2 linked regions of the Pelodiscus sinensis genome follow. The protein of the gene in region 2 interacts with the protein of the main gene of each other region in a biochemical or structural test. Links are inferred from orthologs where the notes say so. Each region holds a gene or a part of one and is shown on either strand. Other genes may lie near its edges.

Evidence for each region.
Region 1: of the proteins of CUL2 (region 2) and DCUN1D3, one has a biochemical effect on the other in vitro, tested with the Homo sapiens proteins (2 studies listed by BioGRID, with this or other methods). The link is inferred for Pelodiscus sinensis from reciprocal best matches to the Homo sapiens genes CUL2 and DCUN1D3.

The regions. Positions count from the first base shown.
Region 1 is NC_134726.1:22,096,626-22,103,849, reverse strand, and holds the start of DCUN1D3 (DCN1-like protein 3), read left to right. Parts: upstream 1-4,221; 5' UTR 4,222-4,335; intron 4,336-4,371; exon of another isoform or gene 4,372-5,239; intron 5,240-7,224. UniProt on the Homo sapiens protein: Contributes to the neddylation of all cullins by transferring NEDD8 from N-terminally acetylated NEDD8-conjugating E2s enzyme to different cullin C-terminal domain-RBX complexes and may play a role in the cell cycle progression by regulating the SCF ubiquitin E3 ligase complex, after UV damage.
Region 2 is NC_134712.1:231,951,308-231,959,114, forward strand, and holds the start of CUL2 (cullin-2), read right to left. Parts: upstream 3,016-7,807; 5' UTR 2,857-3,015; intron 1,202-2,856; 5' UTR 1,163-1,201; intron 1-1,162.

The DNA of each region.
Region 1 (7,224 bases), on a different chromosome or scaffold from region 2:
AACATCATCTATTGACTTTAATTATCAAATCTATCAACTAGGGATGTTAGATAGCATGTAATTAACTAGTCCTGTAACTGCATCAAATTTTAGCAGTTATGTGACTATTTGATTGATAGTTCCTGAGGCAGGGCCAGCAGCCAGTGTGCTCTCAGCCTCCTGTGCTCCTGCCCCTCTATTAGAGGCAGCAGCCCCTGTCTGTGGGGCGGTAGGAAGGAGGGGGCAAAGCTCCCCACAAATAGAGGCTGCTGCTGCAGAAGCTTCCCATCCCTCCCTCCCTCATCCCATTAGAGGCAGTAGCGCAGGGCAGGAAGATGGCAACAGCTCCTGCCTCCCTTCCTCTGCCCCACACTGCCTCTGTAGGAGGCAGCAAGGGGGGGACAGGCACATATGTGAAGCAGGCTCACATGGAGAGCTGCTTATAAGCTGACTCCCTGCACATATTGGTTCCTGCCTGCTCCCCTCATCCTCTGTGCTGCTGCCTCTCTATTAGAGGCAGCAGCATGGCAGGGAGGGGAGAGACACTGGCTCCCACCTCCCCTCCTCTCTAATATAGAGGCAGCAGATGGGGGAAATGCATGTAGTCAAACCTGGGCTTCTTGGTTAATCCTGTTATCAGTTAATCGTGTAGTAATCTACACGTTGACATCCCTACTATCAACATATACCTAGGATTTTAAGAAAAGTAGAATTTTAATAAGGGAAAATAGAAACATTACCAATCGATCTCTTCTACATCCTTTTTAACTTGGATGCTCATTAATACTGCACAAACTTGATTAGGTGCTGACACCATATTTGTTTGACAGGGGAATAAAACTCTGTAGGGAACAGTTTAAAACAGCAACTGTGATGCAATCAAATATAATGTTGACACTGAAGTGCAGCATAGCTCCTCTTTCACATCATCAGCTATTTGACTGTTTGCTACTGGCAAGGAGTTCTGAATAGGATACATTATTTGACAATGCCTATTATGAAAATAACTTATTTCAACCACCTATACAATACTATTTCTATCCAGTTTGAATGCAATAGTGTGTTGTACCACTGTAATTCTAATACCATTCTTGGGCTATTGCTCACTACAATGCTTGCATTTTATATCAAGCTTTTTTTATTTTAGAGAACACTGATAACACTTAGCTAACACAGAGCCAGTTTCTCTCCAGCTGGCAAATGTGACATGAAATCATTCACTCAGTTTCACAGCTATCCATAGTAACTAAGTCACTCAAACAAATCCATCCCTGGTGTAAGCATATTGAAATGAAGATCCTGGATTTATATAAGGATTGAACTGGGCTCATAATTTCCATAAGGGTCAACAGCTGCAAAAGCTGGCTCCTGTGAGGTGGTGTCATGAGGAGAGATCAAGGATTCTTGGGATGGCTAAAAAGATGACATTCTCCAATTATATTAAAATCTTAGAATCCAACATTCACTTCCTACGTTCCATCTCACACAAATTAAACAGATTTAGCGCCTCCCCTCCAATTTTTTGCATTATGAACACTGTAGAATAGCTACACTGCAAATGACTGCATCAGTTAGGTATACACAATACATTTAGCTGGCAACTCGCATGGATTTTCACTTTTGAAAGGTCTTACTCCTTCAGCTGTGGATACAATTTTTTGCTTTGTTAACCTCCAAATCTATAGTAAAATTCAAAGCTGCCAAGAATAGTGAAAGACCACTTAGCAAAATAAAGTGAAAATGAAATAAAACCAAAGGCCTAAATCCACCCCTACTGTAATCCCATTTTTTTTTTTATCAATGGTATAACTCTGTTGACTTCAGTGGAGTTACTCCAGAGATGAAATGACCCAAAAGTTTATCACTGTTTCTATCTACAATCATAAATGTGTGCTTTTTCAGTAAAAGTAGCCCAAGAAACCAGTCTGTAATGAAAGTTGGAACAAGGGGAGTTTTGCCTGGTTTCGAATTCTGTTACAGAAGTTTCAGCTTTAAAACAACTGTTAACCCAGTTGGTACTCAACACCTCTGAGCTACTCACACACTCAATGCACTTGGAATTCCCATTGACTTTAGTGGGAATTCTAAGGGGTAAGTGAAGAGAGGGCCACATGCAACATTGAGTCCTCCAAGATCAAACTTTTGTTTCTTTAATTTTCATTTAAGTATTGAGTAAAGTATCGACCAGAAAGTATAATGAATACTGAAAGCAAGAAGACAGTTCAATTTGTAAATCAATGGCTTAGATTTTATCACTGGCTTTCCATATAAGTTCATTCACATGGAAAGAACCAAGAACTGATTCTCCACACATGTGGCAGTAACCACATTGTGACATGGCTTTGATGCAGCATTACATGTGAATAAATGGAAAAGATCTAGTCCATGGCTAATTCTATACAGTAAAATAGTTTTGAGTTTGCTAGCACAGGATTGTGAATGCTTTGCCTAGTTTAAGCAGCACATATGGTCCTGCATCCTAACTTACGTTTTCTAATAATAAGTGAAAGACTGAAGAGTAAAATCCTTATTTGGGCTATTATAAGGGAAGGACTCTTATTGCTTCAAATATTTCTTAACCCTCTCTGGACACTGAAAACATTCAATGACCATAAGCAGTCAAGGCCAATATTGATTTAACTTTGCTACCAATACAAAAAGAGCATAGGCTTGTTTTCTGGACTGTTAATATTTTCCTCCTCTCCTACTCTGTTTGGGTCTTCATGCTCAGAGAAGAGAGTTTTAATGTTGTGTGGCAAATTTAGCCCAGGTAATAAAATCTCAACTTTCTTATACAATAGAGGCATCTACAAATATGATGTTAACATGAAGTATGGATTTTGCACCTTATTTGCTTCTTGGCTCTAAGCCAAATGCAACTGAACACATGAAAAAAAATAATGTAGATTTCCCAACACTGGAACAGTTCCTAAACACAAGAATAGGTATAAATATTAATGCAGTACAGCAAGGCATAGGGCTGTTTTTAACTTTGTGGCTCATTTTAGTAAGTGAGATTCTGTCATGCTCTACCTCCTCTCCCATCCCTCACTGTTGGTTTTCAAAATGTTTCATTCCACATGCAATCACGTGCTCTAGAGACTACTGTTGGCTCATGGCCCACAATAAAAGAGCCACAGCACTTGAGAATGTTTTAAAAGATTAAATATATGCATTCAATTCTAATGTTTCAAAGGGGGAGGGGGATTCCCACTTTCATTTTCACGGAAGAGCAGAGCTGGCCCAAGAACTACTTTCTGGGACCCTGACTGGAAGTATGACTCAGTGGTAGGGCTGCCAGATGGTTTCAACAAAAATACCAGACACGCTTGTCATTGCTTCTTATTTAGAAAATACCGGACATTTACATTTTCTCAATTTGTTTCCCGGAACAGAAAGCTCAAATACTGGACTGTCTGGTTCAAAACCGGACACCTGGCAGCCCTACATGGGTGTAGGTGTATCCAGGCCGGGAAGTTGCCCGCAGGGGATGTGCTGAGGGCCGCAGCCGGGACCAAAGAGGAAAAGGAGGCCCTGTGTAGTGTGGGGACCCTCCAGGGGCAAGCGCCCAGGTTCACAGGGTGGGACCACGAGCCCTGGGCTGGGACGAATCCCCAGGGGGATGTTCGCGGGAAGCCTGCCCGTGGCTGCAGGAGCCCTGCGTTGCCAGGATGGGAGTCTCTAAGCACCGGGTGCTCGCTGCCCCGGGGACCCGCTGGCAGGCGAGGGGCCCGCTCTGCGGTGAGGGGCGCGGCGCGGGACTGCTCGGAGCTCGCGGGGCGGCTGCCCAACTTTCCTGGCTGCGGGGGGGGGGGGGGAACCTGCAGCAGCGAGCAGGGCCGGAGCGAGCCCTTGATGTGACACTTGCAAAGAGGCGGCGCCCAGCCCTGCGCCAGGGCGGCCCCCTCAGCGCCCCCGGACGGTCAGGGCAGCACCGCCACCACCGGCTACTCGCCTACAAGCTGGACTGTACCAATGTGAGAGCCGGGGGAGGTGGCAACACGAGTCCTCCAAATCCCAGTTTAGGTCATCTTTGCATACCAACATCGACCTCTTTCCCCTCTATCTGCCTCTCCCTCTTTACCTTCAGGGCCAAGCGCCCTACAGCCCTCCTCACAGTTTCCCCCCTTTCCTTGCGTAATGGTTCGCTCCAACCTACTCCAGTCGCCACTCAACCCGGTTGGGGGCGGGAGCGGTTTCTTGCCCGCTTTTTCCCTCACTGTACGTGCAGCGTCGGGCACGCCGGGACGCTCTTCTGCGTGACGACGCCTCACGCATCCAGCTGACGCTTCACCCCCGGAAGTGATGCAGAGGAGGGAGGGGGTCGAAGCTGAGTCTGGTTGGGAGCTGCCGAGGGTGAGTGAATTGGACCTTCTCACTTCCCGTCCGTTTCAGGGAGGCTTTGCCTGTGCTGGGCTGTGGGGGGCCAGGAGGGGTAGGGGGGCCGTGTAGGGAGATAATAGGGCTGGGAAAAAGCATCATCCTAAGTGCCCCGGCTCATAAACCAGACTCTCCAGCCCCTGCGTGGGGGGGAGGGTCTTTGCCCCCTGAGGGGGAGGCTGTGGGGTCCCTGCCCCCCGAGAGAGAGAGCGGGAGGAAGCTGCGGGGTCTCTGTGCCGCTTACGGGGTGCTGGTGGGGCGGAGTGTATCCGCATCTCTTAAAGGATGGACCGGGCTGGTGGGGAGGGTCCTATGTCCATCCCTTTGCCGTCTGAGTGGGTGGAGGGTTACAGGGTTCTCTACCCTGAAGCTCCTCTAACAGGTACTCACGCTACTGCCCTGATAACAAGTAGTTCCTCCGCATACCGTACCCCCGCCACGCACCTCTCTCAGCGGTATGGGTGCAGCGGTTTCAGGGTTAGACTTTAAACAGACGCTTCCTCTGGAACTGTTGGAAGTTATCGGAGTCAGCAGTGAAAGAAGAGATCGTGTGGTATTTATGTTAGATAAAGGGTGGGAGGATTTAGTTTTGTGGTGTTGTAATGTAACATTTCACTCCAATGTGCTTTTTCATCTTTTATGTATATGATTCTCCTACTATTTGAGCAGCGTAAAAGAAGCATAGTTCTCTAGCCCCAAGAGGATTACTGATTAAGTCATCGTATCTGTATCTGTGGAAATGATGATATTATGTTGGTAGTTCTATGTTCAAGGATGCTAAAATGTCTTTCTATAAATTATCCACATCATTAATGAACAATAACCAACCACCTAGAGTGAAGGGTGGCTGCCAGCTGGCTCATAAACACACACTAGAAAGGTATTCTTTTAAACATATTTTGCAATCATCTAATGCTAAATGATGTGTGTATATACATCTTCATAGTGTATGTTAGAAAGTACATGTGGGTGAAGTTAGTCTTCTTTTCATTATTTGAAAATGCTGACCTAACCCATGCAGGTTTTTAGTATTCCATATATATCACGTGTGTATTTAAATTAATCATGGAAGCTGCAAATGTGTCCCAATCACTCCTATTGTTTAGGTTATGTAGACACTGTTATAAGTAATATTAATAACAATGTTGGAGTAACTTGTGTAAACGATGTTGAAGCAAACATTAGTTGAAAAGACCGTTTCTTTCCTATTACTATTATTGAAAGGAATACTTTGGGTTTCTTTATATAATATAGCTAAAACTATTAATGCTATGTTTTATAAAACAAATGGGTACCTATGGCAACATAGCTGTTTTGCAGAATATTCTTCTAAATTAATTATTCTCCCTTTAGGGTATGGTGTAAGTTGTAACAAAAGTGAAAATTGCCAATGAGTTACCATATTGCAATACTCGATATTTTGCTCTTAAGTAAGAACTTCAGGTTAAGCCAGTACTATTGAAGAGAATGGTCAGATGAGGAAAATGGTCAGGTGATGTCTATTTTCTAAATATAACTTTCTAGTATCTAGTTTAGAATCTCCATGTTAAACATTTAATACATTGTTAGTAGTTGTTAATATTTGACGTGGGCTAATGTTGAACGTTTGTGCACCTTAACTCTAATAAAGGCTTTGCTGGGTGTCTGATCACTCACTTTCCAGGTACTTAAGAATAGTGGAAGGATGGTCTCTTGGCTAACTCATAGAGCTGAGAGTCATGAGATCTGATCTTGGCTCTGTTTTTGTTTTGTTTTTTTAAACTCAAGTGTACTGTAAGGCTTAAGTAATGGTCTGTGAAGAGCATTTATAATTCTTCAGATGAAAGGCAACATGCAGTAGGCAACTACATATCGGTATCATAGGGGGAAAAGAGTTACAAAGACAGTACAGTTCTTCATTTGTGTTGACAGACACAATCTAATTCCAGTGCAAATAATGTTAGAAACTTGTTGGAAAGTTCAAGTTATGCAGTATTTTTTTATTCTAATAATTTATTCATAGTTAATATTGAGTTAGAGCTCAACCTTCGTAAGTTTGTTTAAAGATGCTGGGATAGTAGGGGTATATGTGTATCAGTAAGGGTATGTCTACGCAGCAGCGTTATTTCAGAATAACTGACATTATTTTGGAATAACAAAGTGTGTCTACACTGCAAGCCATTATTTGAAATAATGGCAAGCTGGAGGACTTCTTATTCCAACTCCTGTAACCCTCATTTTATGAGGAGTAAGGGAAGTTGAAGGAAGAGTGTTCTTCCTTAGACTTCCTGCTGTGTAAACCGTGCCAAAAGCCGATTTAAGTTATTTCGACTTCTGCTACATCAATTGCATAGCTTAAGTTGCATAGCTTAATTCAACTTTAGCCCTGCTGTGTAGATGTACCCTAATATTCCTTGATAGCTCAACTTGATGCTCTTGTGATTCCTTTACTCTTGAGCCTGATAACCTATATGATCTCTAATTTGCCACTAGATCCCAGAAATGGGGGGGTTGGAGGCCTATAGAGTGCAGGTATTTAGCATTAGCTCTTAGTTAAGTGTTATTCCTGATAAACTTGGCTGATGTGTTCAGTCTGTGATAGTAGCAGTAGTTTTTATATCATTGGATTTTTGTATAGATTTTTTTTTTAAACAAATTTTTCTAACAGCACTTTGGTGCTGTGACTTTAAGCACTTAACATGAAGAAGGGCAACAATATCAGTAACAGGGAAAGAGGGTGGTTTCGATAACAAAATCTAGGGCAGCTACTTCTGTAAGCCTGGGAGGGGGAAGAAGATTACTTACTGTCCAAAGGATAGAGGCTGCCAGACTATTTGGCAGGCTGAAATACAAACGACATCCCCACACCTATTCTCACCTCTCTTC
Region 2 (7,807 bases):
CGTGAGCAGCCCCGCCCCCAGGTGCCCGGCAGCCCCAAAACATTGGGGACCACTGATTTATGACAAAGCTGCTCAACTTGAAGGGTACTAGCCCGATAACGTAGGAATTCACTGCATGTGTCAGCACACTCACCTACTAGCTAGTAACCGCTGTTATCTTCTGAAGTATTTACTACTGGCTGAAAAGTACCCTAAGGCTATGTCTACACCTGCGGCTTCTTGCGCGAGTAATATGAAAATGAGGCTAAGCGTGGAATATTGCCGAGCCTCATTTGCATACCTAATGAGCCACCTTCCTCCCCCCTGCCCGAAGAGGCTCTTGTGCAAGAAGGAGCATTTACACTGCCCCTTCTTGCGCAAGAAAAACCCTCTTGCGCAATGCCGTTACACGTATTACTTTTCAGGAATGGCATTGTGCAAGAAATACGTGAAACGGCATTGTGCAAGAGGGTTTTTCTAGCGCAAGAAGGGGCAGTGTAAATGCTCCTTCTTGCACAAGAGCCTCTTCTGAAAAAATGGTTGCTCATTAGGTACGCAAATGAGGCTCGGTGATATTCCACGCTTAGCCTCATTTGCATATTACTCGCGCAAGAAGCCGAAAGTGTAGACATAGCCTAAGTGTGTCCTGTACTTCAGCAAAATCTTGCTTCCCCTCCCCCCACATATGAATGTTTCCTAGCCCAGTGGATTACAGAGTTACATAGGGCTCCTATACAACTTCCAAACAATCTGCGGTCAGCAGGGACTGCTTGAAAGTAACAGAAATAAGGCAATTGACAGTTGACCCAAAATAAAGGTAACATCAGTGCTTCAAAGGGTCAAAAAAAAAAAAAATCTCAGAAGTAGGTATGGTAAAGCCTGTCCTATACAAGGAAGCAAAGATCCAGATATCTTTAAATAAAAGTCAACCCCTTCTGAGTTCCAAACTCAGCCAAGAGCAGGGCACAGGAAAGACTGTACACATTAACTCCCAATACAGAAGTGCATGGGACAAGAGCACCTAACCATCCAACAATACTGTTGAAATTGATAAAATGCTGACAAATGCATAAAATTATAAAAACTAAAACGTTTAATAATCAACATATTTCTACGTGCAAAATCAACCACAGTCAGTGTTTAGATGTATAATATAAAAACCATTACAGAGACGAGAGCATACCTTCACTTAGGATACCGTATTCAGCATTGGCCACTTTCTCTAAAATGGATATAATGGAAATAGATGGTGTTTAGAAGCATGAAAAAAGCTTGCATATAAAAGACTGCAAATATTACATCTGTGTAGTCTGAAGAGGACACAAAGCAGAAAAATGCATTAAGAGACGGTGGACTGGGCATTTCTATTTACCTTCTCACACAAAAACAACTGGAATTTTTAATAAAATTTCAAGGCAACAAATTCTGAACCAAGAGAAAAATATATTTATATTAAAAAAATTGGCTTATGGAACTCATCTTATTAGGATTCTGAGTAGTACTTGACAATTATACAGATGAGAATATCAAGTTAAATCAGGATACTCTCTCTAAAAAGCCATGTTATTACTACTAATACATCATTGTTGTGTGTTAGTATTTTCATTTTAGTAGAAACATTCATCAAGTGTACACTGGGATGTTTAAAGAAAAAGTGTTTTCCACATAGAAGGTTGTTACTGTTAACATGAATTCACACAAATGGCAACAATTTATAATGAATCCCAGGAAAGGAAGAGATTTGAGGCTTATCTATTCCAACGGGAGGATGAACTCCAGTAGAAGAAGCTAGGAAACAAACTACAATAAAGCATGTCTTTGGCAACCAACAAATACAACTAATCTTTACCTAAAAGGATAAAGCACACACTTACACTAGAAAGAGTGGGAACACTTTTTTGATGAGACCTAAGCAGAATTTCTCTGCTCTTTAAGAGTAGCTACAATGTGGACACACTGCACTAATATAAAAAGCAACTTAGACTAGTACAGCTTACTTCAGACCAAGCTGTATCAATGACAAAGATCTACACTTAACTTAAAGAAAAACAATTTTTTTAGCATAAGGTGCTGCAGGACTCCTTGGTGGTTTTGCAGAAACCAACTAACACAGCTACCCCTCTTACATAGCCATTGGTTTTCTTATCCTTTGGTTCCCATCCCCAGATACCCTATTTGAATTAGAGGAACCAGCAAGCGTAGGTTTCACGAACATACAAAGACCCCAATAGTTCTACAGACATATGTTATGTGTTTTTTGCTTTCACAAGGGTGGAGTGCTGGGTGGCAGCCAGGAAAAGAAGTGGGGGGGGGGAGGGGAGAAGGGGACGACCGGGGAGAGTGGGGCACTAAAGTTAGAATATCGAAAATAATTTAATTAGTCAAGTCCAGCAACCAGGGCCCTGAAAATCGCCGAGGAGCAGAACCGAGCAGGGGGAGCAGCCCCTGCCGCCCCACCCACTACAGCTGCGGGTCTCTCACCTCCCTGCCCCTTCGCACCCATATTAGTCACTCACAAAGCAAAAGCGAAACTGGCGCGAGGGGGTAACGCTCCCGGGGCGCGGTGGAGGGGGAGAGATACCGGGGCCTGCGAGGCACAGAGCTCAGGACGGGCGCGGGGAGCCCAACATGGCCGGGACCTCAACCCGGCGGCGCAGCGTGGGGAGAACAAAACCCGTCACGAGGGCGAGAGGATGTGGGGCGCAGGCAGGGCCGGCAGGCGCTCGGCGGCCGCTAACACCCCCCGCCTCCCCGAGGGGCCCGGCCCAGCAGGCCCTGCGCGGGGAGGTCAAGCCCGCTCGGAGCCCGGGGAAGCCCCCGCTCCGCTTCCCCGCGGCGTTCGCTACCGGGCCGGAGGCGCCTGCAGCGCGCGGCTACCTGTCAGCACAGGCCGGATTCAGCGGAGCCGGCCCCCCTCCCTTCGCGTCCTGAGGCTGCAGTCCCTGCCCCGCTCGCCCTCCTCACACCGCTGCCATTCCCCGGCCGCGGCCCCCGTCTCTCCGCCGGCGCCGCCACTGCGCTGCAGACCGCGGGGGGAGGGGCACCTCCCTCACTCCGGCCCCAGCGCGCTCCGGGCCTGCCTGATACTCACCCGCCCCCGCTGCGTGCGCTTCAAATCGCACAACCGGCCACGGCTGGCGCTTGCCCAGTGGCACTAGGCGAACAGCCAGGGCTGGGCGCGATGCACCTCTCCCCCGGCCGGTTTGGTACAGTCCAGACTACGGGTACAGCAGAGGGTCTAAATTCATTCGACTTTTGTTACCGTAAATAACTAATTGAACTCCCCTTAGCGCAGGGCCAGACGGGGCCCGCATGCGCATGCTTCGCGCTACTCGTTCGGATTGATTTCCCTTCTCTGCGGTGCGCATGTGTTACTCACCAGCTTCCACACGCTCTCTGCGCGTGCTCCTTTTTCGGGAAGTCGCTCTAGTGAGTCGATGTGCGCTGCTCGCATTGTATGGCTCGGGGTGGTGTCTTGTAGGGCTACGCGAGTTATACACGCGGGATTCCGCTCGCACCGGTCTCCAGCACCACAGCGCTAGCTCTGCTACGGTCGCTGTACCCGCTTTCCCTCATGCAAGTGCAGCCCATCCTGCAAGCATACACCAGTGCTATGTCCTCCGATACAGCCGCGCCCCACTCTGCATGCCTCCAACCTGTCACCGAATTAAAAGCACAGGAAGAGATTCAGTGCAAGGAAGCCTGAAGCAGTCGCATGTAGGAAAGTCTGTACGCCAGCAAGGTCTCATTCCACGCTCCATTGGAGTCTGATTTCCTTTTGGAGAGGCAGGAGACAGAGCATGCAGCCTTTCAAGATATCTATAAAGCACCTTTTATACATTTACTATTGAGCCCATACTATTACTAGCCTGAGGTACAGTATATTAAAAAAAAGCTCCTATAATTACAAGACAGTTGGAGGTTAGTCACAGGCATCTATATCTCTAAACACATTCATAGTTAACTCCCTTGCTGCCTCCGCTATCAACTCCCCCACAATCTTCTCCCCACCCAGGGACAAAGAAGATGTGTTGAGCCGAGTTAATTAAGGCAAGATGAAGGCCAAGTGAAGGCAAGCCAGTCTGTAATTTCACACAAGCTCACTTTTTCTCTCCCGTGAAGGCAGCACCCAAGTGTGATTACTTGGAGCTCTCACATCGCCACATATTTAATAACAAATATCTCACTACCCATACAGTTCTCACAGCTTGATGTGTTCCTTCCTCCCACTCACTGAGATTTCTCAAAATATTCTGCATAGCTGCCTCTTCTTCAGCTTTCAAGGAAGATATGCAGTGGGAATCAGCAGAGCCCAGCAGAGGTGCCAAACTCCAGAATCTCCAGGAATTACAGATTAATCTTTAATTATAATTTATGTCTCATGATGAAGCCTTCAGGAATACATCAAACCAAAATTAGCAATCCTACCTGCCTGTCACCAGGAACAGTGAAAATTAGTCAGGACATAACTCAGGAGACTGCTATTTTGCATGATGCCTTTATACCATTTGTATAAATTGGTAGAACTGCTAAATTCCACCACAAACCTACCCACATTGGCGCCTCAAAAAGTGTAAACCGATATACATAAAACTAATATGTGCAGAAAGTTATGTATATTCACAGTTGACTTTCTCCATCTGTCCCTTACCTCTTACGCTTCTCCTCTGCTCTTTTCTCATCCTGATAAATCACATCTGTAATATGTCTTCTCCCTCGGAGAGTGAAATAATTTATGAATGGCCTCTTTCAAAGAAGATACCCCACTGCAGTACTTCCTACTTTTCTTCACCCTCCCCAAACAATCCATCAAGCCTTTACTTTCACAGTCTTCAATTCTTACCCCTCAATTTCTTCCTAAATTTAGTTGGGCTCAGGCTCCTCCTTACCAACCTCTGCTAATCTCCCATTCTTCCAGCAGGCTAGGCCATTTTTCTCTAGACACGGTCCAGCCATCTCCCTGTCTCCCTAGAACACTGTTACTCAGAGTACATCTACACAGCAGCATTATTTTGGCATAACTGATGTTATTTTGAAATAACAAAGTGAGCACCTACACAGCAAGCCATTATTTCAAAATAATGTCAAACTGGAGGACTTCTTAGTCTGACTCCTGTAACCCTCATTTTATGAGGAGTAAGGAAAATCAAAGGAAGTGTGTTCTTCCTTTGACTTCTGGCTGTGTAGACAGCACCAAAAGCCAAATTAAGCTATTTTGACTTCAGCTACACAATTGACATAGCTAAAGTTGTGTATCTTAATTCGACTTTACCCTGCACTGTAGACATACCCTCAGTGAGCAAGGTGACTTCTGCTAGTATCTTCCTGGTCATGTAAGGGGACTCTGCAACCCAGCCTCAGATGCAAACCATATGGGAAGTTGTGGGAGACAGTGAGCCCTTTACCTTTTCCAAAGCAACTGAGCATCCTTAGGGTGTGTCTAGACTACATGCCTCCTTCGACGGAGGCATGTAGATTAGCCAGATCGGAAGAGGGAAATGAAGCCGCGATTAAAATAATCGCGGCTTCATTTAAATTTAAATGGCTGCCCCGATCTGCCGATCAGCTGTTTGTCGGCAGATCGGGGGAGTCTGGACGCGATGCCCCGACAAAGAAGCCTTTCTTCATCGACACAGGTAAGCCTGGTTTCACGAGGCTTACCTGTGTCGATGAAGAAAGGCTTCTTTGTCGGGGCATCGCGTCCAGACTCCCCCGATCTGCCGACAAACATCTGATCGGCAGATCGGGGCAGCCATTTAAATTTAAATGAAGCCGCGATTATTTTAATCGCGGCTTCATTTCCCTCTTCCGATCTGGCTAATCTACATGCCTCTGTCGAAGGAGGCATGTAGTCTAGACACACCCTTAGTGTGGAGCTACTGATTATTACCTCAGGATTCAAGTGTGTGACTGCAAGACCAAGGTAATATCCCATTTTTGGAAGGTGGGATTTTCAACTACAGAGAGTTGCAGGCAATGCCAGGCTTTGTCTACTCCTCTTATGTAATGTTTAAACAAAATAAATTTGTTAACAACAGGCATGCTATTCCAGTGTCCCTGTAACCGTTGTTCCATGAGGGATACGGGACTTGTTGGAATAGCAGTTTATTCAGAAATTATGTAAGCAAATTATGTAGCATATTTTGAGGTAAGAGTGTGGTGTAGATGCACCCTAAATGGAAAAGTTGCTTAAGCTAAGTTACATAGTAGTGAACAGTAGCTACTTCTATGTATTGCAGCCTAACAAAGCAATAGAAAATAATGTAAGTGCATGTGTAAAATTGTTCACTTCAGCATTAAGAACTTTAAAAATATTTTCTTCAAACATGGCTTCCTTTTTAAAGTTGTGGTCAGAAAAAATAACTAACAATTACATCTCAACAAGTTTGCTTCCTCTGGTGAGATTTTTTTGTATTTTTTTTCTATTTGAAAGTTCAGACTGACAAGAAAAAAGGACAAGAAAACAGCCAATGACTTTCTGAACCCAGACAAAATAAAAATACATTGTAGCCTTTGCTAATGCAATTGATACCTTGTTTAGAAATGCAGTTTAATTTCTAATTCTCCTTTCATGATGCATATGGAAAGTTTCATCCAGAAAAAATACTGTTTGGTTGCAGCTTAATTAAGTGTTTAAGTTTGACCAAAAGCAGTTTAGCTAATCTTGTATTATATAAGCATGACAGCCCCCATATACACTCATCCCCTTGCACACACTCCACATATGTTATAGTAATTTTTTCACTTGCTTAACTAAAATAATATCTAGAAACTAGAAACCTCTAGTTGATAATCCAGTAGTGGTTATATCCTGAAAAGACATTAAAAATGGCTTAATAATTCTCTCAACAGCTTCCACATCAGGCTTGTTCATTCCATATAACCAGATTGAGTTTTTTGTTTTAAAACAGTAAACTCGATCTTGTATCACAGTTAAGCTGTTCTGGCTGTCATATAACACTACAAGAGTTCTGCAAATGAATCTTGGAGTCTGACCCTGTTCCCCACCGAAGTCTGCTTATTTTCACATGACTCCAGTGGGAGCAGTATTGGGTTCCTTATTAATTCTGATTAGGATATAAGAGTTAACTTAGAACTCAGCTTGTCCTCTCCTAGCTGTATCATCTCCATAGTACTTATAGCAGTAAACCTCATTTTTGTCATTAAAATTAAGGATGTTAAGGATGTAATTGACTATCGAATAGTCGATGCATTTTTGCATTGTCTATTTGATTAGTCAATAGGGTGCCTCCACCTTTGAAGTGTAGCAAGAGCTCTAAGCTGTTGCTACACTTCAAAAGTGAAAGCACCGAAGCCCGGGGTCAGCTGGGGATCTTGGGCTCCACGCAGCGCTGCCACTTTGAAATGCCACGGGGATCCTGGCTCCTCACAGCATTCAAAGTGGCAGCGCCACACAGAGCAGCTGACCCTAGGCTCTGTGCAGGGCTGCTGCTTTGAACTACCTCCCTTCCCAAGTAGCAAGGGTTGGGGAAATGACTAATGAACTATCCTGTTGGTTATCCGATAAGCATTTGCTATCAGATAATCGATTAGTCCTTCACATTCCTAATTAAAGTATGCTGAAATGATTTGGAAATCTGACAGGAACAGTGTTTTCCCCACTAATTAAAATGGGGGAAGGAGGGTGTTTGACTATACAGAAGGGATGAGGGCTGATAAGGAGTGTGGGCCAAGGTGGACTGTATGGAAAAAAAGAAGAAGAAAAAAAACAAAACACTAAACCCAGGAAAAAACAGAAAAAAAATGCACGACCATTTTCTTAGATTTAACTCATGTTTTACAATCATCACAAAAATTAAAGCTAGCT